2 linked regions of the Anolis sagrei genome follow. The protein of the gene in region 2 interacts with the protein of the main gene of each other region in a pairwise test. Links are inferred from orthologs where the notes say so. Each region holds a gene or a part of one and is shown on either strand. Other genes may lie near its edges.

Region 1 (11,279 bases), on a different chromosome or scaffold from region 2:
TGACATGAGTGGCTAAGATAGTGATACCTTGGTTTTTTGCTGGGTCAATGTACGCAAACTTTGTTTCCTGCATAATAATAATCAAAGTATTGTATAAAATAATCTTCAGTCTATATATTTATGAAGTATAAATGAATTTCATGTTGTACTTACGTCCCTTCTCCAGGTTCGTTCTCTCCCCGCCTCTCTCTCTATACACACACACAAATACAGATATTACAAAATACAGAAGTATCCAAAACAGTTTTACTCCCAAGTTTTTTAGAAACTCAATTGTAGGATTCCATCAAACATTTAATGTATTTTAAATTTGTCTTTTCCTTTTTTAGAGAGACCAGGAATTTCTGAAGTCTGTGTTCAACCTGGTGTACCACGATTCTGTCTTTCCTCTTCTCCAGTCTGTGATCCTTCCAGAATACAAATGGGCAGAAGAAGAGTCAGAAGGCACACGCTGGCGAATGATTGCTGATTTCCTGAAGAAAAACAGAGAAAGAGAGGGTGCCCTCTCCTCTCTGCTATCATCTGAAAGTCCTCACAAAGCTTTTGATATCATGGAAATAGCATATGATTTTGTAGGAGAGGCAAGGACAAATAATCCTTTGGTGTAAGTGAATCTTAAGGCCATGCATCTCTGCCAAATACTGTGTCAAAAATGTATCAATAACCATAATGACTAATGTGGCCAAAAAGGTAATATTTTTATAGTTTAGATTTGCTATTAAGATATGTTGGGTAACTATTTTTTAAAGAAAATATATAAAGTTTTATTTATTAACTTTGATCATTCTTGCTGTGTTTTTATGGGGTTGCTTCCTAGCAAAAGTTGTCAGAGAAGCAGATAACGTTCAGTGCCTCAGATCTTACATTGAGCAGACAGCAACTAATGTGTCCCTTATACAGTTCTATGCCTCTCCTCTGGCTCAGCCCAGGAAGGTGGTGGGAAGAGGAGGCAGCTCAGTTGATGAAGATGCAGCTGGTGTCATCTTGAAGGGCAGAAGAAACAAAAGAACACTGGGTTCCTTTTATTTGTTCTTCCCCTGGGAGCCTACAGCAGTTGCATCTTCATTATCTGTCCTCTCTTGAAATAGCAGCAGCTCACCTCGGGGTTTGACAGCTACTGGGAGAGAAGAGCTTTTAGACATTATGCAAAGACCTAGCAAAGAGCTTTGCACTCCTACCAGAAAGCGAGCGAGTGAGCATGCATGTAATAATAATAATAAAAATAATACTTTATTTCTAGACTGTCCTCTCTCCCCAAAAGGACTCAGGGCAGTTTACACACAAAACAAAGCAAACATCCAATTCCCAAACAAGTGCAGATACATCAAAGCAATGACATAATAAAAAATAATAACAACAGTGAACTAATTGCATGAAAAAATTAAACATCAAAAATGAAAAAAAGGATACAAATAAACACGTAAAACAAAGTACATTAAAAACATAATCAACGTTAAAACAGTTGTCACAGTAAAACAATTAAAATAGATAAACATTGGCTGTTCTGGTTGTTTTTTAAAATGTACCATTGTGGCCATGGGGCACAAGTAAGTCAGCCAGCATTCCAATGGCATTTGTCTAGAGCAGGGCCCCTCAAAGTTTTTAAACAGAGGGCCAGGTCACAGTCCCTCAAACTGTTGGAGGGCCGGATTATAATTTGAAAAAAACATGAATATATTCCTATGTACACTGCACATATCTTATTTGTAGTGCAAAAAACACTTAAAATAATACAATAATTAAAATGAAGAACAATCTTAACAAATATAAACTTATCCGTATTTCAATGGGAAGTGTGGGCCTGCTTTTGGCTGATGAGATAGGATTGTTGTCGAGTGCTTTCAAGTCATTTCAGACTTAGTTGACTCTGAGCGAGGGCCGGGTAAAGGACCTTGGAGGGCCGCATCCGGCCCCCGGACCTTAGTTTGGGGACCCTTGGTCTAAAGTATCCCAATCCTTCTCTTCTCCATATGCCAAAGTGAAGAGGTGTGTTTTCAAGACTTTTGAAAGAGAGGAGGGTGGGGTCTGTTTTTATTTATTTCGGGAAGGGGTTCCAGAGACAGGGAGCGATCACGGAGAAGGCCCCCTCTCTCGTTCCCACCAACCACGCTTGTGACGGGGTTGGAACCGAGAGCACTGTAAGCTATACAGTGTGCATATACATCACAAGATCCTGCTCAATAAACACTATCATCTACTACTATCTATATAAATAAAAATGTAATGTTCGTTTGTGGGATTAACATAACTCAAAAACTGCTGGACGAATTGACACCAAACTTGGACACAATACACCTATCAGGCCAACATATGAACATCACTTATAGAATTATTATTATTATTATTATTATTATTATTATTATTATTACTTTATTTGTACCCCGCTAGCATCTCCCGAAGGACTCGATGCGGCTTACACAGGCCAAGGCCTCAAACACAATACAACAATACAATACCTAGAGCAAATTAAAAGCAGATTAAGCAGAGTAAACAACAACAATAACAATACACAGACATCAAGACACTATAAAACTGGGCCAGGCCGGGGTAGTGGGTACAGGATTAAAAGTGCTGATGTGGCAGGAGGTATGTAGGATTATAAAATAGGTGCATTGTGCGATGTGCAGTGATCTTAATTCTATTAAAGTGCTTCTAGGATTTGGTATTGGGGGTTCCTAATCTGGAAAGGCACATCGGAACAGCCAGGTCTTCAAGTTCTTTCTGAAGACTGCCAATGAAGGGGCCTGTCTAAGAAACACTGATAAACACAGCAGAAGAGACTGAAAAAACCAAAAACAAAAATTACAATGCATGTGCAAAACCACAAACACACATATACACAAATATATATACACACAACAAAACACATACACAGACTGGGCCACAGCAACGCATGACGGGGCAGCTAGTTCCTTAATATATTACAAGACAAGTCGGAAGTGGCAGAAACTCTGACTTGGTCTGGTGAATTTCAAAAATCAAATATTTCAAGTCAATGTCATAGAATCATTAGGACACAGAGTTGTAAAAGACTAAAAAAAGCAACATTCAGGAATACAGCAATTATAGCACAGGTGGTCATCCAGCCTCTGTTTGAAAACATCCAAAGAGAGATTCCACCACATTCTGAGACAATATATTCCACTGTCCAATGGCCCTTCCACCAGAAAGTTCTTCCTAAAGTTAGGTGGAATCACTTTTCTGTAATTTGAGCCTTAATTCCTGAAGTTTGAATCAAATAATTCTGATTCATTTAATATACCACTTTTCCCCCAAGATGATGATCATATGCTAAAAAATAAACTTTAAAACATTCAAAGTTTTTAAAAAGTTAAACATGTCTCAGTAAATGCTGGTAATTATTAATAATTGTTGGAAATGAACATGTTTCTTCACGAGGGAGATACTTCTTTGAGGTTTGGATGTTATGTGTAGGAGTGCATACATATCTCCCACTATCCTTCTAATTATTCTGAGAATTACTGTCATGTGTCAACATTTACCATAACATCTGTAAGAGAAGTGTCAAATTGACCCAAAGCTTGTCATATTCAATCACATTCTGGTAATGACATCAGGGGATAGATATGATCAGAACCTCTCCTGGAGATCCTTGCATTAGACCACAGCCTATAATTTCAGGGCTGAATGTTTGACATGGTAGGGACAGATACAGAAATGAAAGATATCCCAATATTTTTTTTCTTTTTCATTATTCCGTTCCACCTTGTAAGCACAACAGTGCAGGTTTTAAAGTCTGAATTGTCAGATTGTTGCAGCACAGGCAGCCTCTGAATACTTCTCTCTGTCCATGGTTTTCCTGGCGTAATGCATCTCATTGAAGTGGAAGAGGCTTAAACATCCCAAGTGGCATAAAGATAGGAGTGGTCATTCCTAATGCAATTATTTTGAGATGTTTGCTTAGTGGGCCCAAAGCAGGAATCTAGCCATAGCACCTGAGCGGAGATGAAACTAGTTCAACAAGGCTAACCAGAAACCAGTCTCTCTGTTGGATGTGTTCCCAATCAATTTCCAGCAAGACAATAGAGGCCTTCAGAAAAGCACGTCAGTGTTGCCCTCAGAACATTTAGAAAATGTGCTGCTATGTTAATATAAGACTTCAATCCCATCAGATATATAGATCTCACTCCCACAAGGTTAAGCAGCTAATTGTGCATGTTGTTTCTTCTCCCTGCAGCAGGATGTGCAGATTGAGCAGACAGGATTACTGACCTTAAGGCTATAGGTTTACATTTCATTTCCTACATACATCAGTCTAGGAAAAATGACACGTTCAGTTGGGTAAATACGTTTGGGAACCAACTCTCTCATGAATTAAAACAGAACGTATTTGTATTTGTATTTTGGTCTGATATTTAGATATGAACACAAATAGCAAAACTGCCACTTGTCTAGGTTTTCCATCTTCCTGTGAAGATACAGGAAGACACATTTTAATTTATGTAATGTTTAAGCTGTGTACATTGCCTCAAGGAAGAATGGCAACAATCCCATAAGACAAAAAAGTTTGGTAATTAAACAAAGATCAGAAAAATAAAACTTGAGATTTGGAAATATAATCAGCCCTCTACATTAGACATCCAAGACCCTTGTGAAAGTGGAAAAACAGCAAAAAAGCACTATTTTTTTGATAAAATACCTGTCTAGGTCTTCCATTGTTACTTCTGTTGGAAGTTGATCTAGAGGACTTTAGAGATTCCTAGAGGTAACATATTAATCAAATCTGTGAATAATCAAATCACAAGTCAAACCCACAAATGTGGAGGGCTGGCTATACATGTGCATTTATTTGTTTCTGGCTATGGACTTATTTTGATATTTTTCAGAGGTCTTTCTTGCTCTATGTTTGCTTTAGGTACAAAGGGAGCAGTCTTACATTCCACCAGCTGGGAGGAATGTAAACAATAGATGTCCATGCCCCTATTAAGCATGTTATTTCTCTATTTGATTACACCTTCTTCCTCCTGGCACACGATTGTTTTTGGAAACAGGTCTGTTCTCAAAACCAGTACATATCAGTTACGTGTTAATTTCTGCTCTGTAGCACAGAAAGTGTGTGCGTAGCAGCCAAAGACAGGTTGAATGTTTTCTTTAGGACGTATAATTAAATAGGACCAAAGACAATGTGTAGCCAGTTGCCGCAACCATATCATTCTTTCCCTCCAACCAAATGTCATGTTGACTCCAAAAGAAAAGCAATATAATAAAAAGAATAAAACTTAATTTATATCCCACTCCATCTCCCTGAGGGGACTTGGAGTGGTTTACAACAATGTGAATAATACAATGAAAACAAGTCACCCAATGTGATTTAGTAATGTTTCTGTTTTCCTTTCCCTAGCCTTCATCCAGCTATATCAACTCCCTCTTTACAGCACCTGTCTATATATTTATGCCAGCAATGGGGTGAAAAATGAGGCTGACTTGTAGAGAAACTCCTATGCACCCCTTTTCTAGCCAGTGGATGACTATATCCTCTCTCACCAGCTGGTCCTTTTTATTGGCTGGAGTGATCAAATAACAATATAAGAAATGCCATGATAGATCAGTCCAAGACCATTCTTGTCCAACATCTGACAGAAGCCAAGTAGTTGTCCAGGGGAGATCTTTTTCCAACCTCAGTTGTGAAAAAATCAGATGCCAACATGTTTTCATTTGAATTCAAAACTGTTTTTGAGTTTGTTGTCTTTCAAAATATATGTTTTCTAAAGTTTCAAACTTTCAGAATAAATAGTAGTTAACTTGTAAAGATTTTCCTCATTGGACACAATGGATAGAAACTGAATGAGTTGACGAAACCATTCAAGAGTTCTTTTAGGAAGCCCTCAAGTAATATTACAGCTGGAGTTTTATGTGTGTGTGCATAGCCCCTCCTCCTTCCTTCTTTTTTTAGTTTTCTTTTTATAAAGGATTTGATCTCTGTTTTCTGACGGACTTTATTAGCCTTTGCATAGTTGATGATTTTTCTGTGATGACTTGAACAGCTACCTGCCAAGTTGGAACTGGTTTCACCCTTGACGTCCACCTGGGTGTGTCAGTGGATACTATTTTAAGCTTCAGAAGCCAATGGTAGTATCACACAGATAACCCAGAGTAGCAGACTGTAAGTGCCAGAACACTTTTGATTGTAAAGAAATGGATACCAAAACCTCAGGACCAGCTTCTGTCTCCCCGGTACCTGACAATATTCCGTCTGGACTAGCTGTTTTCAGAACAATACCATATGCCTTCATCTTACCAGAGCTGGTAAGTCAACAGAGTTTTAGAGCAGTTATTTAAAAAGACTAATCTATGTTCTGTTTAACAAAAAAGACTTATCTATATTATGTTTAACAAAGACTTCATACAGTGACAAACCTGTATTTGCCATAGCATAGATAGGATGGTGAGTAACGGCTTCGGGTATTTGTATGATAAACACAGGTTTCGTGTATGTTAGTTCTATTGATAATCTCAGATTCAAACTTGAATAAGGAAATTCTCTCATATAAATGTACAATCACATATGTAATTTATTAGACCAGGAAGTGTGTGTGCAGATTTAATTTATTTCAGAATGCTTCTCTGATTACTGAGTTTGAATAACAACAACAACAACAACAACTTTATTTTTGTATTGTCGAAGGCTTTCATGGTTGGAATCACTAGGTTCTTGTGGGTTTTTTCGGGCTATATGGCCATGTTCTAGAGGCATTTCTCCTGACATTTCGCCTGCATCTATGGCAAGCATCCTCAGAGGATGCTTGCCATAGATGCAGGCGAAACGTCAGGAGAAATGCCTCTAGAACATGGCCATATAGCCCGAAAAAACCCACAAGAACCTAACTTTATTTTTGTACCCTGTGTCCATCTCCCAGAAGGGACTTGGGGTGGCTTACATAGCCTGATCAACACAGTTAAAATAACACATTAAAATTCATTAAACAGCAAAATAACACATTAAAATTCATTAAACAGCAATATAAAGGAAAATAAAACAAAAACAAGCAAACAAGAGCATAACACAATATAAAAACAACCGCCACAAACAACCAGTAGTCTGAAATGGCAAAACAGTTGTAAGCTTCGGTGGGGGGAAAGGGACACAAATAGCTGTGAAGAAAGGGCTGATAGATAAAGTGCAAGTACCAATTGACACGATTGGGGATAAAGCGCAATATGAGATGGAACACTATATCTTTGGGCAGGGAAGAATAGTCAAGTGTAGGAGCTGAATTTTGGGTTATAGCTGGAGGTCAAAATTTTCTGGGGAACCGACTAATCAAAAGCACAGTGGAACATCCATGTTTTTAGATCTTTGCGACAGATGGACAAGGTGGGTACCAGCCTAATCTCCCTGGGGAGAGAATTCCCAGAGCCAGGGGGCCAACTCCAAGAAGGCCCCCTCCCTCGTCCCCACCATCTGCACTTGAGACAGAAGGGGAGCGAGAGGAGAGCCTCCCCAGAGGATCTTAGGGATTGTGCAGGTTTGTATGGGAAGATGCGATCACCAAGTTACCCAGGTCCCAAACCATTTAGGGCTTTATAGGTGATAATCTGCACCTTGAATTAAGACCGGAAACTTATCAGAAGCTAGTGGAGCTGTTTAAACAGTGGGGTTGACTGGATCCTGTAATTTGCTCCCATTAACAACCTGACTGCTGACCTTTGCACTAATTGCAGTTTCCGGGCTGTCTTCAAAGGCAGCCTCACATAGAGTGCATTACTGTAATCTAAACTGGACATAACTAAGTCAGACTTCTCAATGTACGGTTGCAGCTGGCGCACAAGCTTTAATTGCGCAAAGGCCCTCCCAGCCACCGACAACACCTGAGCATCAAGCGTAAATGCTGAGACTATAAGAACCCCCAGACTGCGGACCTGTGTCTTCAGGGGGAGTCTAACCTCATCAAGCACACGTTGCCACCCTATGCTCCAATCCATCAAACTACTGACCTGGAGGACCTCTGTCTTGTCCAGTATTAAGCTTCAGCTTGGAAAATTTGGGAACATCTGTTCAGGTTTAACACACATCCCACTGCAATCTGTGAGATTCATCTGAGTGCAATATATATCTTTTTAATGAGACATATTTGAAAAGGGAGGAAAACCAAAAGAAGGAAAATCAAGGGAAATAAAATTATAAGAGTTGGACTAGATCACATGGTCATCTAGTCTAACCACCTTCTGTTCAGGAATACATAATCAAAGCACTCTGACAGATGGCCACCCAGTCTCTGATCAAGAACCTCCAAAGCAGGAAGCTCCACCAAACTCTGAAGCAACGTATTCCACTGTCGAACATCTCTTGCCACCAGGAAGTTCTTCCTTATAGATGAAATCTCTTTTCCTTTGGTTTGAATCTATTGTCTCTGGAAGAAAGCAAGGAAACAACTCCTTGAAAAGTACACTGCTGATACAAAGACTGATTGCATCAAAAAAAATGTAGTAGTCCAGTAAGGGACAATTTGAATTAGTGCTTTTAGATCAGCCTTTCTCAATTTGACTCCATACCAGCTGTGCATGAAGGAAGCTCTAGCAAATGCATATGGATGGCACCAGGTTGGAGAAAAGTGATTTTAAAGTATATGATAGCTGTTGCGTGTGCTTTCTTTCTAACAGGAAAGAAGTCTCTGTGTGTATTAATATTGTTGCGTGTGCTTTTTCTCTAGCAGGAGAGGTCTCTGTGTGCATTAATAAGGAATCTAGATTTGATACTATATGGTTGCAAGGCCCCTGCATAGTGAGTAGTTCCAGGGGTCTTTTTGGTAGAGAGTACATTGAACATTCAAACTGCCTCATACTCAGATTATTGATTTATTTATTCTAGTACTGCACCCTCTGATGGATAGCTGTTTAAAGTCTTATACAGATCTTTGCTTGCCATTGGTGTCAGATATTTTTAACTAGAGAGGCTGGGATCTGAACTCGAGACCTCACAACCTCTGAGGATGCTTGCCATAGATGCAGGTGAAACGTCAGGAGAGAATGCTTCTAGAACATGGCCCTAGAGCCCGAAAGACCTACAATAACCCAATGAACCTGAGTTGTCTTGGTGCAAACCATGTACCTTGCCACGGAACTACTGTTCTTTATGTTTATGATCCTTCCTTCCTTCCTTCCTTCCTTCCTTCCTTCCTTCCTTCCTTCCTTCCTTCCTTCTCCACCCTCCACCCAACTAGGTCAGCTTACATTAATGTTCAATAAATATAAGAGCAAAATGTTACAATAGAAAAACAGCTTTCAAACTGCAGCTAATACATTTCTAACAGTAAAACTTGGCAGATGGATCCAGAAAGTGGTAATCCAAAAGAAGTTTTCCAAGTTTTGCAGCCGCAGAGAAGAATTTGGGCAACTGTCAATTTATTTATTTATTTATTTGCTATATTTATACTGCCCTTCTCAGCCCGTAGGCGACTCAGGACGGTTTACAGTCAAGTGCAGACACTTCAATTCCCAGTCAAGTGTAGTCTTGATCTATCTTCCTTCCAGACACTATCTTTATCCTTGTGTAACTTTTAAGTCTTCCCATATATCTAGTTTCTGCAGAGATATCCAGAAATCAGGGGAACATCTCCTAGTTTCTAATCCCTATCAATGAAATGTTAGTTGACCATCCTGGTTTATTCAAACAGCAATCTGTTTAAGAAGTAAAAAGGTAAAGGTAAAGGTTTTCCTCTACATTAAGTCCAGTTGTGTCCAACTCTGGGGGTTGGTGCTCATCTCCATTTTTAAGCTGAAGAGCCGGTGTTGTTCGCAGACACCTCCAAGGTCATGTGGCTAGCATGACTGCATGGAGCGCCGTTACCTTCCCGCCAATGCAGTACCTATTGCAAGTTTTCAAACTGCTAGGTTGACAGTAGCTGGGGTTGACAGCGGAAGCTCACGCCGCTCCCCGGATTTGCACCTGCGACCTTTCGGTCAGCAAGTTTAGCAGCTTAGTGGTTTAACCCACTGTGCCACCAGGGCCTCCTCTGTTTAAGAAAGACATGGCCAAACAGCCATTACTAATAATGCATTACAGCATTCAATCCAGCCCATCTGGATTGGAGAACCACTCTTTTCCCATCCCTAATTATTTATCTCCTGGAGGCTGATTGCTTCAGGGATATAATAACATGCTCAGCTCATGAGTTTTTCTTTGAAGGTCTGGCCAATTACCCAGTTAAACCTGGAGATAATGATTGGATAGATTTCACTGTTGACTGTGGCAAGACTGCATGTGGTACCCGGGGATTTAACCAAGAAAGAAAGCAGAGTTGACTAATGCAGGCCAGAGAAGGAGGAAAGTAAGAGTAGCTGCAAATTAGGAGATAGACTTCTACTAATATACATATAAAATGCATCTGCAGTGAAGAGAAGACTGAGTTTATTTGGAACTCAATCCCATTAATTCCAATAGATTTTCCTTCCAAATTCAACATGTTCTTGGTTTGTCCCAGAAAGAAAACAGTGCCCATCCTGGTGAAATCAGAACAAATGCTGTAGTGAGGGAATTGCAGTGAAGAATAAGCATTACAGAAGTACTTAGCCAATTTAAATGGATTAATTTCTCCAGGGCCAAGTGAATTGAATACAGGGTTACTAAAGGAACTTGCCGGTCTAATCCCAAAGCCTTAAAGTGTTGATTATCTTTGAGATTACTGAGCTTCCAATGGACTTGAAGAGAGTAAATGTTGCCCCTATCTCCCAGATGTCCACCTTTTGGGAACCCTTAAAACTTCACAAGCTTTTTAGCTATGCTGCAAAAGCTTCTTGTGCATGTCTTTAGAATCCCACTAGAGCAGTATTTCTTAACCTGGGGGTTGGGACCCCTGGGGGGGGGGGGGTTCACGAGGGGGTGTCAGAGGGGTCACTAAAGACCATCAGAAAACAGTATTTTCTGTTGGTCATGGAGGTTCTGTGTTGGAAGCTTGACCCAATTCTATCGTTGGTGGGGTTCAGAATGCTCTTTGATTGTAGGTGAACTATAAATCCCAGCAGCTACAACTCCCAAATGTCAAGTCTATTTCCCCCAAACTCCACCAGTGTTCACATTTGGGCAACTCCCAAATGGCAAAGTAAATCCCCACTCCCAACCCTACCAATATTCAAATTTGGACGTATTGGGTATTTGTACCAAATTTGGTCCAGTGAATGAAAATACATCCTGCATATCAGATATTTACCTTACAATTCATAATAGCAAAATTACAGTTATGAAGTAGCAACACAAATAATGTTATGGTTGGGGGTCACCACAACATGATTAACTGTATTAAGGGGCTGCGACATTCGGA
Region 2 (10,485 bases):
ACTCTAACAACTACCATGTCAGACTACACAGGGAAGCCACTGAAATCCACAAGCATGTGGACAATTTCACAAGAAAGGATTAAACCATGAAAATGAACCAAATTTGGCTACTGGTATTTAAAAAGCTGTAAAATCAGAACAGTAAAGAAAGAACACTTAAAAACAGAGGAATTCCAGACAAGAAACAATCAAAGCCAGCTAATCACCTCCCAACAAAGGATTCCCCAGGCAAGAAGCAGCCAAGCCTTGAAGCTGCAAAGCTTTTCAGTGCTAATCAAGGTGATCAATTGCAGCATTCACACTTGCCTAACAGACAAGAGTTCTTTCTCCCTCCCTGGACATTCCAGAGATATATAAACCCCACTTGCTTTGCTTCCAACAAACCTCACAACCTCTAAGTATGGCTGCCATCGATGTGGGCAAAACGTTAGGAGAGAATGCTTCTGGAACATGGCCATACAGTCCAGAAAACTCACAGCAACTCAGTTATTCCAACCATGAAAGCCTTTGACAATATAAACTTACTAACAGCTTAAAAATATATGGGGAAGGCTAAATACCTTTAGTCTGTTGAACCTTACCATGTTTTAAGTTACAGAACATATAAAAACAACTATTCTGTAGTGAAAGAGCAACCCAATAAAATCTGAATAACGTACTGCTGTCTCTAAATATCACTATATATTGTACATATGAATAAACGATCACAATAAAGTATATGATTCTGGAAACAGTAATAAAACTGGTGTTTTTAATCTAAAACAGCAGTCATCCAGTATGTCCTTTTATGATGGGGCAAACAGCAGTCATCCAATATGTCCATCTTTTATGATGGGGCAAAGAAAAGGGTGGTCTGGGAAGGGTAAAGGAACTGATGTCCACAGCCTGTTATGTTTTTCTTCTAGGAAGAGATTGGCACTTCATTTCAATAGTAGGGTTGTCTCCCAGTCCTGCAACTTTAAAGGTTAAGACCGCTAACACTACAATATACAACAAAAAAAACAAATGCTGCTTCAAAGTAATTTTACTATGCATTGCTTACTTCAACTATTGTTGCTTCATGTTCTTTCCGGTTTCTGAATATAATGTTCATGACAGATTCGTTTGTGAAAAACGCTGAATTAAGCATTGCAAAGTTTAAATAAGCTAGAATTCATACTTCAGTCTAAAGACACATTGCTGCTATTTTGGGGACCAATATTACTGAACTCTACCTCTGACATTCATATTAAATAGCAAATCATAGATGACAGAACCATTTTTAGGGCTTTACATACTCTTATTTAGTAGAAGACAGAAGTGTTGTCCGTTACCAATTCTTGAAATGTGCCATCATGCCTAATTTTATTTTTGGTTGCTCTTATATGCAAGTCAGTACTTTATCTGGCTCTTGATACCGATCAGAGAGGTGTGACCACCATAGCATGTTAATCATCATGTTTCCTGTAACCACATGTGAACCCATTTCCATCTCCAAAATCTTTTTCACATATTGATATCATCAGGATCACATTTGGATCTGCTCATACTAAGTAAAGTTCTACTGTGTAAAATGGCAGTTGATGTGATGAAGAATAACAAAACCGCATTCCTCAAATGCTGCATCAAGAAGAAAACGTACTATTTAATGTTTGCTTCAGTTGAGGTGTTCATGTGATGAGAGTTTATCCAAAAGACATGATTTTGAGTACTTCAAAACTTCAGAACCAACAAGATGCCACAAATTCAACCTGAGATGATTTAATAGTTTTAAATTTGCTAAATTTAGTATACAGCAAGGTTCCTATTTGTTTTACCTTGTCCCCATTAACATGAAACTTACTAGCTGGCCTTATTTTTGGCATTTTTGAGTGGGATAGGATTGTTAAATGAAATCTCAATTGCAAAATAAACATGTTGAGGTGTTTTTCTGAAAGCCCTCATAGGTCTGATGTGTCATTTTATATCACCTATCACACCTGAAGTTGCCTCCCTGCAAGTGTCTTACACAGCAGTCTGAAGGATTTACTAGTTTCTAAATTGTTGTGTTGTGCTGTTTTTCAAATGCTTCCGTCAGTTCCCTAGCATCCTCAATGCTGGGGAACTGAAGGGAGCTGCACTAAAAGATCCAATGTTTTACACCAGGATTGGTAATACTCTTGCTCTGCAAATGTTATTTAAAAGCACATTCCATCAGTGTCAACGTAATCAATAGTGAAGAATTCTAGCAGTTGCAATCAAGAAACAGATCGATGCTTTAGGAGTTTGGGAAGATCACAAAAGTATAAAATACTTAGTCATTTCTTAATTCATAGTAAACAGCTTTTGGTTAATCAGATTAGGAAGGTGGTTTGAGAAGTTGGATCCTTTCCACACTTTCATTTTTGAAAATTGCAGTGGTTTTGGGTGTTTAAATGAAAAAAAAAGCCATGAATGAACACTGAATCATTATACGATTAAATATCAGTCAACATATATGAACAGAAGCTTTGCAGACTAATTTAATTTAAAGGGTCTTTGTGGTATCAGTTAAAATGGAACCTTATCTAAATATGGCTATACAAAAAGTATACAAAAGGCTGGTTGCTATACCAAAAGAATTAATTTAAAGTTAAAAACAGTAACTGACAATCTTAAGGATCAGAAACAACTTTGGGTTTCTGTGAGTTTTCTGGGCTGTATGGCCATGTTCCAGAAGCATTCTCTCCTGACGTTTCACCGACATCTATGACAGGCATCCTCAGAGTTGTGAAGTCTATTGGAAACTAGGCAAGTGAAATTTATATATCTGTGGAATGTCCAGGGTGGGAGAAAAAACTCTTGTCTGTTTGAGGCAAGTGCGAATGTTGCAGTTAGCCACCTTGATAGGCATTTAATGGCCTTGTAGGAAACAACATTATTTTCCCATCTACCATATCTGTAAAGATGCTGATGTGTTGCTTTGGAAAATCAGTGGCTACTAATCCAAATGGTTGTATTATCACTCCCAGTATCAGTAGCAAAATACCTCTTTGCATCACTTGTTGGAGAACAGGTTGCAGGTGAACTAACATGCTCCTTCAAAGCTTACTGGTTGGGAATGGTGTGACCAGAATGCTGGGTTAGATTGCCTTTCTGTCTGACCCATCACAACTCTTTTAAGTTCTTAAGTTAGTTAATAAGTTCAGTTCCAGAAGGGTCTGAAGTATTAGCACAAAGTCTTTTATAATTTCTGGCAAAGCTGCAGGTAGGCAGATCGTGCTATTTGTTTTTGTTATCACTTTTCCTAGGCATGGCTGAGTTTAACATGACCCTTTTGTTCTTACATCTGTTTCTCTTAGTAGCCAGGTAACACTACCCCAAGAATGTATCTGTGGTTTGGTCTTATAAAACAAAACAGCTTGTAAAAGTTAGTTCCTCTTCCTGTACTAGCAGCATGATAGTTTGAACAGAGATGAACACCCAGTCAGATTAATTCCTACCTGTGAGTTAATATAACTTCTGAAGTAATTCATTGGGGAAAGATGACCAGAACTTACCCTCAGGTATTATTACACACTCTTGAAAAAGATATTTGTAATTATTACTTTGAACATCAGACAAACACACAATTTTACTGCTTTTTTCTGTAATTTTTAACTAATGGATTGAATTAAAATTAAAATTTTAATTTCTGTGTGGTATTTGCATGTTGCTGAAAATATTCAGATAGGATGCATTTAAGTCAGCCAAGTTTATCAACCAAATATATTTGATTTAAAAGGCCAATGGATGCAATTACTTCTTAGTGTCTCAAAGGCTCCCCTTTTCAATAAGGTATGTATCTATTATTATTTTTAATTTCAGAATTTTGATGGAAGCTTCCTTGGTTCAGAAAAATCTCTCTCTACAACTAAAAGAGGTAATTGGGAGAAATCTCATCTTTTAAAGGAGTCTATTTCATTTCTCTCCGTGCATCTGCTGTCTTTTACTGTACACACATTTTCTTATTAAATACAGACACTTTTATAGTCCCCAAACCAAGTTAAATATAAATATTTACAGGAAATGGGCTTTGTGTTTCGGGGTAATGACAACATGTTATATGCTTCATAAAAGGATGTCAATTGTAATTATTCTCAAACAACTAAAGACAGGAAAGTGATGGGAGGCAGGTGGTTACAGAATTCGAGATTATCTGATTCTCAGTTTGGCATTTTGTATATTTGAAAGGGACCAGCACTGTAAAGTATGGGATGCATGCCATGGTCCTCAGGTTCTGTCTTTGGCACCTGCACTTAAAAACAGTTTTCAAGAGACAGATTTTCAAAAAGATCAATTCTAGACATTTTGTTGAGTAACTGCCAGAGCAGGAAATAGATGGTTAAATAGTTTAGTTGCACATTGACATTTAAATGATTAAAGATAGCTTTACTGGAGTCAACTCATGACAAATTGTAATGTTATCATCTGATGAGATTTGTAAAATATCAGCTGTTCTCTATGAACATGTCAATATTAAACTTTTTTTACCAAATTGATTTTACGTATTTTTTGATGTTGGAAAAAATTAAACTAAGGGCAACTTCAGATGACAGTATTACAGCACTATTATTCCACTTAACACCCCCCCCCCCCCCCAATGATTTTAAATACTCCTGGGATTTACAGTTTACATATAATTCTCAGCCAGAAAACTAAGTACACATCTCCATTTGGTGGTTAGGTACTACTGTGCTCTTGCTGATAATAATTCATAATTAAAGGTAAAGGTTTCACCTGACCTTAAGTCTAGTCGCGTCCAATTCTGGGGAGTGGTGCTCATCCCCATTTCTAAGCCAAAGAGCCGGTGTTGACAGTAGATGCCTCCAAAGTCATGTGGCCAGCATGACTGCATGGAGCACCATTATCTTCCCGCCGAAGCAGTACCTATTGATCTACTCATATTTGCATGTTTTCAAACTGCTAGTTCAACAGAAGCTGGGCCTAACAGTGGGAGCTCACCCCATTCCCCGGATTCGAACCGCCAACCTTGTGATTAGCAAGTTCAGCAGTTTAACTCACTGCACCACTGGGGCAGTGGTTAATTTGTACCAGTCCCTAAACTGCAAATCCCAGTTATAGCAGTTAAAATGGAATCATAGTGCTTTAATGATTTTATGCATAGATCCCCAGCCTTTATTCATCCAGATGTTGGGGGAGGGTCAATGCCCAGAAGCCTCAGCCTGCTTGGCCAGTTGTTAAGATTTCTGTGAGCTAAATTCCAGAACATCTAGACGACACCATTGGTACGGTGCGAAAGACCTAGATATATCTGAAACTCCCCCCCCCCCCAAACATTTATGTATTTATTTACGACATTTATATCTTGCCCTTCTCACCCCAAAGGAGATTCAGGGTGGCTTACAAGAGAGGCACAAATTGATGCCTTAAGTACATATAAAAATAAAACAACATATACATTAAAATCACATGATTAAAACATATAAATTAAAAACAATTACTTAAAATCACATTAGTAATGGGTTGATAAGTGTGGCAAAAGCAGAAAACTTTGGGCATAAATAATTGGTATGGTTGTATGGAATAACTTTGAGAATTAGTAACAACCAAAGTGGCTTTTTTTTCTATTGAGGTTTAGTCAATGGTTGGTAAAAGCTGGTTTCTGCTTGCAGATTTTGTAGTAAAATATTGCATTTTATTTGCTCTTTAATGCCTCTCTCCATGGCAGGTACCATACGTGACCAGCGAGATTGCTGCAAGGAGTCTTGTCAATGCGTCCCTTGCACTCGGAGATGCGTCTGTGCATCTGCCATTGGTTTTATTATACTTGCCGTTATCATTGCTGCCATTGCATTAATTGTCACAGTTGGTATCCCCCCACGTACAGCAGGTCAGTCACTATTATGTTGACTGTATTATTTCCCACTAGAGTCATTGATATGATGCCTTGAATGTGTCACAATTATTTCAATATGTTAAAGGTTGAGCTTGTTGAAGTAAGTAGTGTGTGGACACAATGAGAAGCTGAAGCCTAAATCCAAGGTTGCAGTAACAATATAGCTGAATATACCGTACTTCCTCTTAACTCCTTCCTGGAGCTCTGGGCATTTCATGAAAATCTGGTTTTCTGGATCTCCAAGACTTGTTTATCAGGGGAACTAGCAAAACCAGTTCCTGGAATTACAATGGTTAACCAGAGGGTAACTATAACATGATGCTCATCATTTTGCCATCATGTCCAGTTTTGCTCTCAGGAAAATTTCTGAAACTTGAGTAATTACAAGCCCTCTCCTGTTGCATACTTAAAGGGAAAGCTGTCTGTGGACTGATATTGTGGGTACCCACAGAGGACATAAGGGGTTCATGTTTGTCTTGACATGGCTATATTTTGATACCAAATCACCTGAAAATAGATCCCAGAAATGACCAGAAGTTCACTTCTGATTGTTAGTTTCAGATTTTCTGCTCACCTGTGGGATTGTTTTGGAAAGGTAGGGCTGGAAAGCTATGTACTGAGCAAGCACCAGTCCAAATAGCACTTGGGAGGACATTTCATATTTTTTGATGACTTTGGGAAGGTTTAGCGTTTCTTAACCTGGGGGTCGGGACCCCTGGGGGGTTTGCGAGGGAGGTATCAGAGCAGTCGCCAAAGACCATAAAAATGCAGTATTTTCTGATGGTCATAGGAGTTCTGTGTGGGAAGTTTGGCCCTATTGGTGGGGTTCAGAATGCTCTTTGATTGTAGATGAACTATACATCCCAGCAACTGCAACTCCCAAATGTCTATTTTCCCCAAACTCCAATAGTGTTCACATTTGTGCATGTTGATTATTCGTGCCAAATTTGGTCCATATCCATCATTGTTTGAGTCCACAGTGCTCTCTGGATGTTGGTGAACTACAACTCCAAAACTCAAGGTCAATGCCCACCAAACCCTTCCAGTATTTTCTGTTGGTCATGGGAGTTCTCTGTGCCAAGATTGGTTCAGTTCCATCATTAGTGGTGTTCAGAATGCTCTCTGATTGTATGTGAATTATAAATCCCAGCAACTACAACTCCCAAATGAGCAAATCAATCCCAAATCCCAACCCCACGAGTATTCAAATTTGGGCATATTGGATATTTGTGCCAAATTTCATCCTGTGAATGAAAATACGTCCTGCATATCAGATATTTACATTACAATTCACAACAGTAGCAAAACCGCAGTCATGAAGTAGCAATGAAAATAATTTTATGGTTTGGGGTCACCACAACATGAGGAACTGTATTAAGGGGCCGCAGCATTAGGAAGGTTGAGAACCACTGGTAAAAAGTAAAAAGTAAAAAAAAAGAAGTAAAAAGTAGAAAGTGAAGAGCATCCAGTGAACTCAAATGACTTTTTTAAAATGCATACACAGAAAACTACACAAATATCAAGAGGATAACACAATATTGAATTATTGTAAATTTTTTAGAGTCTATAAATACCCACTTCACATCAAAACTACAAAAACTTCTGTGCCAGGAATTCCAAAACCATTTACTAACAGAATTCATTGTAATTTGAATGAAAGCTGAAGGGTTTTAAAAATATCTATCTTGTAAGGAAATGGTAGAAAGAATAGAGATAGCATTCAAGTGCACAAGGATATATCTAAACTGAAGAGAAAAGGACTTTCTCTCTAAAAGATAAGGGTGGTTATTGTAAAAGTTTCCCCTGCCACATATATCCTTTCTATGCTCACAAAGCCAAATGCCTAAATCGCTCACAGAACATACTTCTATGATTGATAGATCAACTCTTGAAGTTATACAGGGTTAGTCAAAATGCATAGGCCAATAAGCCATTCAATTGAATGGCTTATTGGCCTATGCATTTTGACTAACCCTGTATTTCAAATTTAGACTGTCTGAACCACCGCATCAAACAATCTATCATAACTAAGATAGCTTACAATGGGCTTCTATATTTCATTTAATGGTTGTTAATAGTCTCCTTTGATATGCTGCCAGTTTGACTGATTTCTCTAAATCTCAGAGCATTCGAAGCCATTTCCTTTCATTTGGTTCTGACCAGAAAGTATATCATCTCGCAGAATTAATCATGCAGGTGCCAAAATGAACCATTCCCACATATAGCCTTTCTTAAAACATAGTCAAAATATTTTGTACAGCTGTGTATTACACTTCTTCACAGTATACACTCAAATGGTTTCTCTTACTCTTATGTGGATGTTGGATAATGACTCTGGAGACCAAGGTTTGGATCTCTGTTCAGCTATGGAAGCCCATTGGATGACCTTGGAGAAGTCACACTCTCTCAACCTCAGTGGAAGGCAATGTAAAACCTCTTCTGGACAAATATTGCCAAGAAACCAGGTGATAGGTTCGTCTTAGGGTCGCCATAGGTCAGAAATGACTTGAAGTCACATAACAACAACACACTTCTAAGGGTTAGGGCCCACACTGTCCCTATGTGGAACTTAAATGACCTGAGTAAAAGGTAAAGATTTCCCCTGACATTAAGTCTAGTCATGTCTGACTCTGGGGGGTGGTGCTCATCTCCATTTCTAAGCTGAAGAGCTGGCATTGTTCGTAGTCCCCTCCATGGTCATGTGGCCAGCATGACTACATGGCGCATTGTTACCTTCCTGCAGAAGCAGTACCTACTGATCTACTCACATTTGCATGTTTTTGAGCTGGGTTGGCAGAAGCTGGGCCTAATAGCAGGAGCTCACCCCTCTCCCTGGATTCAAACTGCCAGCCTTTTGGTCAGCAAGTTCACCAGCTCAGTGGTTTAACCTGCTGCAACACAAGGGGGCCCTAATGATAACTAAGCTTGAAGATCAGTCGTGAGTCTGCAATTAGACGTTTTAATATACAGTAAAATGATTACAGAAGTGTACTTGATCTGATCAGTATCAGTATTTATAATTTATTATATTGTTTTTATTTTTCAGTGAATCGTTTATGTGTGACTACCAGTAACCAGACAGGCTTTTTATGTGACAACCGAGAGACCTGTATACCAGCCAGCCAAGTCTGTGACACAAGAAGACATTGTGCAAATGGGGAGGATGAGCAAGAGACACTATGTAGTAAGTGTAACAAAAACCTGGTTTTCAAGAGTTGTCTTTGCTTCATCGATTTCATTATTTCAAATAACTTTTTATCCTTTGGAATGTTTAGGCTTTCTTTCCAACATCTATATCTTTGTGAGGCTGCCTGTTAATATCATCAGAAAAATGTTTGGACATTAGGGGATAATCATAAGACTTTCATGCACATCCCTGCTAAAATGATGTATTTTGTTGTATTTATTTTGGTAGGTGACTTACCCAACAACCTTCCAGGTTACTTAATATTTCATTGCAGCAATCCCCGATTTTGGATACCTGCAGACAAACGATGCAATGGGATCAATGATTGTGGAGACTGCTCTGATGAAGTAGGGACCTGTAAGTCTGTTCATCATAAAACTATATATCACTGACAGATGCTTATGATTTATGATAGGGTGAAAGGCTCTGAGTCCTGGTCTCCAGGGCAGCAGAAAAAAGCCTGCTCCCTCTTGCTTATGATATCCTTTCAAATATTTATACATGGCTATCATGTTTCCTCACAACCTACTTTTCTGCAGGCTAAACATACCCAAGTCTTTAAGATGCTTCTCATAGGTATTCGTGGTCTCCAGACCTTTGATCATTTTAGTTGCCCTCTGGACACCTTCCAGCTGGTCAATATCTCTTTTAAATTGCAGTACCCAGAATTGGACACAGAGTGATTCCAGGCGAGGTCTGACTTAGAATACAGTGTCCAATTGACTTGGGAATGAAACACTTTTAAAACGTTGAAATGTGTAGCCAGTAACTATATACCTTGCAGAAATATTTGTAGCACAAAGTAGCTATTATGGAGAGTTTAATATTTTTTATGGAACACCTAGAGTGCTTTTGCAAAACCCTAAGATTATGTGAAACACAGTTTGGGAAGCTCTTCCCTACAGTATATTTGTATTCATTGGCAGTTTTTAATTGAAATACAAACTAGAGCTTACCTTGCTTAGCTTCCACGATCAGATAGAGTCAGCAACCATTATTACAAAAGATATCCTGGCAAGGTTTAGCAAATAGCAATACACCATCCAGCAGTCCGTTTGTCCACAGGAGTGTACCTAGGTACTGTCCACCTGCCTTGGGCATCCAAGAAGCAGCTTTAATTCTTTGCAAAGGAGACAAAGCAGCTGAACGGTACAAAAGCATATGCTGAGCTTCTTGTGCATGGGGCAATGGCATTGCACAAGGAGAACTGTATAATTCCCATACCCAACCCCTACAAAGTGACCAATGCTTTAAGCCACCAACAGAATTCTAGCCATACTTCGGATTTGATAACTTTTTCCTGATTTTTTTAAATTGTCATGCTGCCAAATAAAGGAGGGACAGGCAGGTAATTCTGTAGTACAGTGTTTCTCAATCTTCCTAATGCTGCGACTCCTTACTATAGTTCCTCATGTTGTGGTGACCCCCAACCATAAAATTATTTTCATTGCTACTTCACAAC

Evidence for each region.
Region 1: the proteins of LDLRAD1 (region 2) and MAL-like protein interact in binary tests that used the Homo sapiens proteins (3 or more experiments, as listed by UniProt). The two-hybrid records come from large-scale screens. The link is inferred for Anolis sagrei from reciprocal best matches to the Homo sapiens genes LDLRAD1 and MALL.

The regions. Positions count from the first base shown.
Region 1 is NC_090021.1:23,448,573-23,459,851, reverse strand, and holds the start of MAL-like protein, read left to right. Parts: upstream 1-5,952; 5' UTR 5,953-6,156; coding exon 6,157-6,267; intron 6,268-11,279. Other genes in the region: NPHP1 (nephrocystin-1), read left to right, coding at 330-608.
Region 2 is NC_090024.1:172,564,469-172,574,953, forward strand, and holds the start of LDLRAD1 (low-density lipoprotein receptor class A domain-containing protein 1), read left to right. Parts: upstream 1-5,661; coding exon 5,662-5,830; intron 5,831-8,882; coding exon 8,883-9,020; intron 9,021-9,251; coding exon 9,252-9,380; intron 9,381-10,485.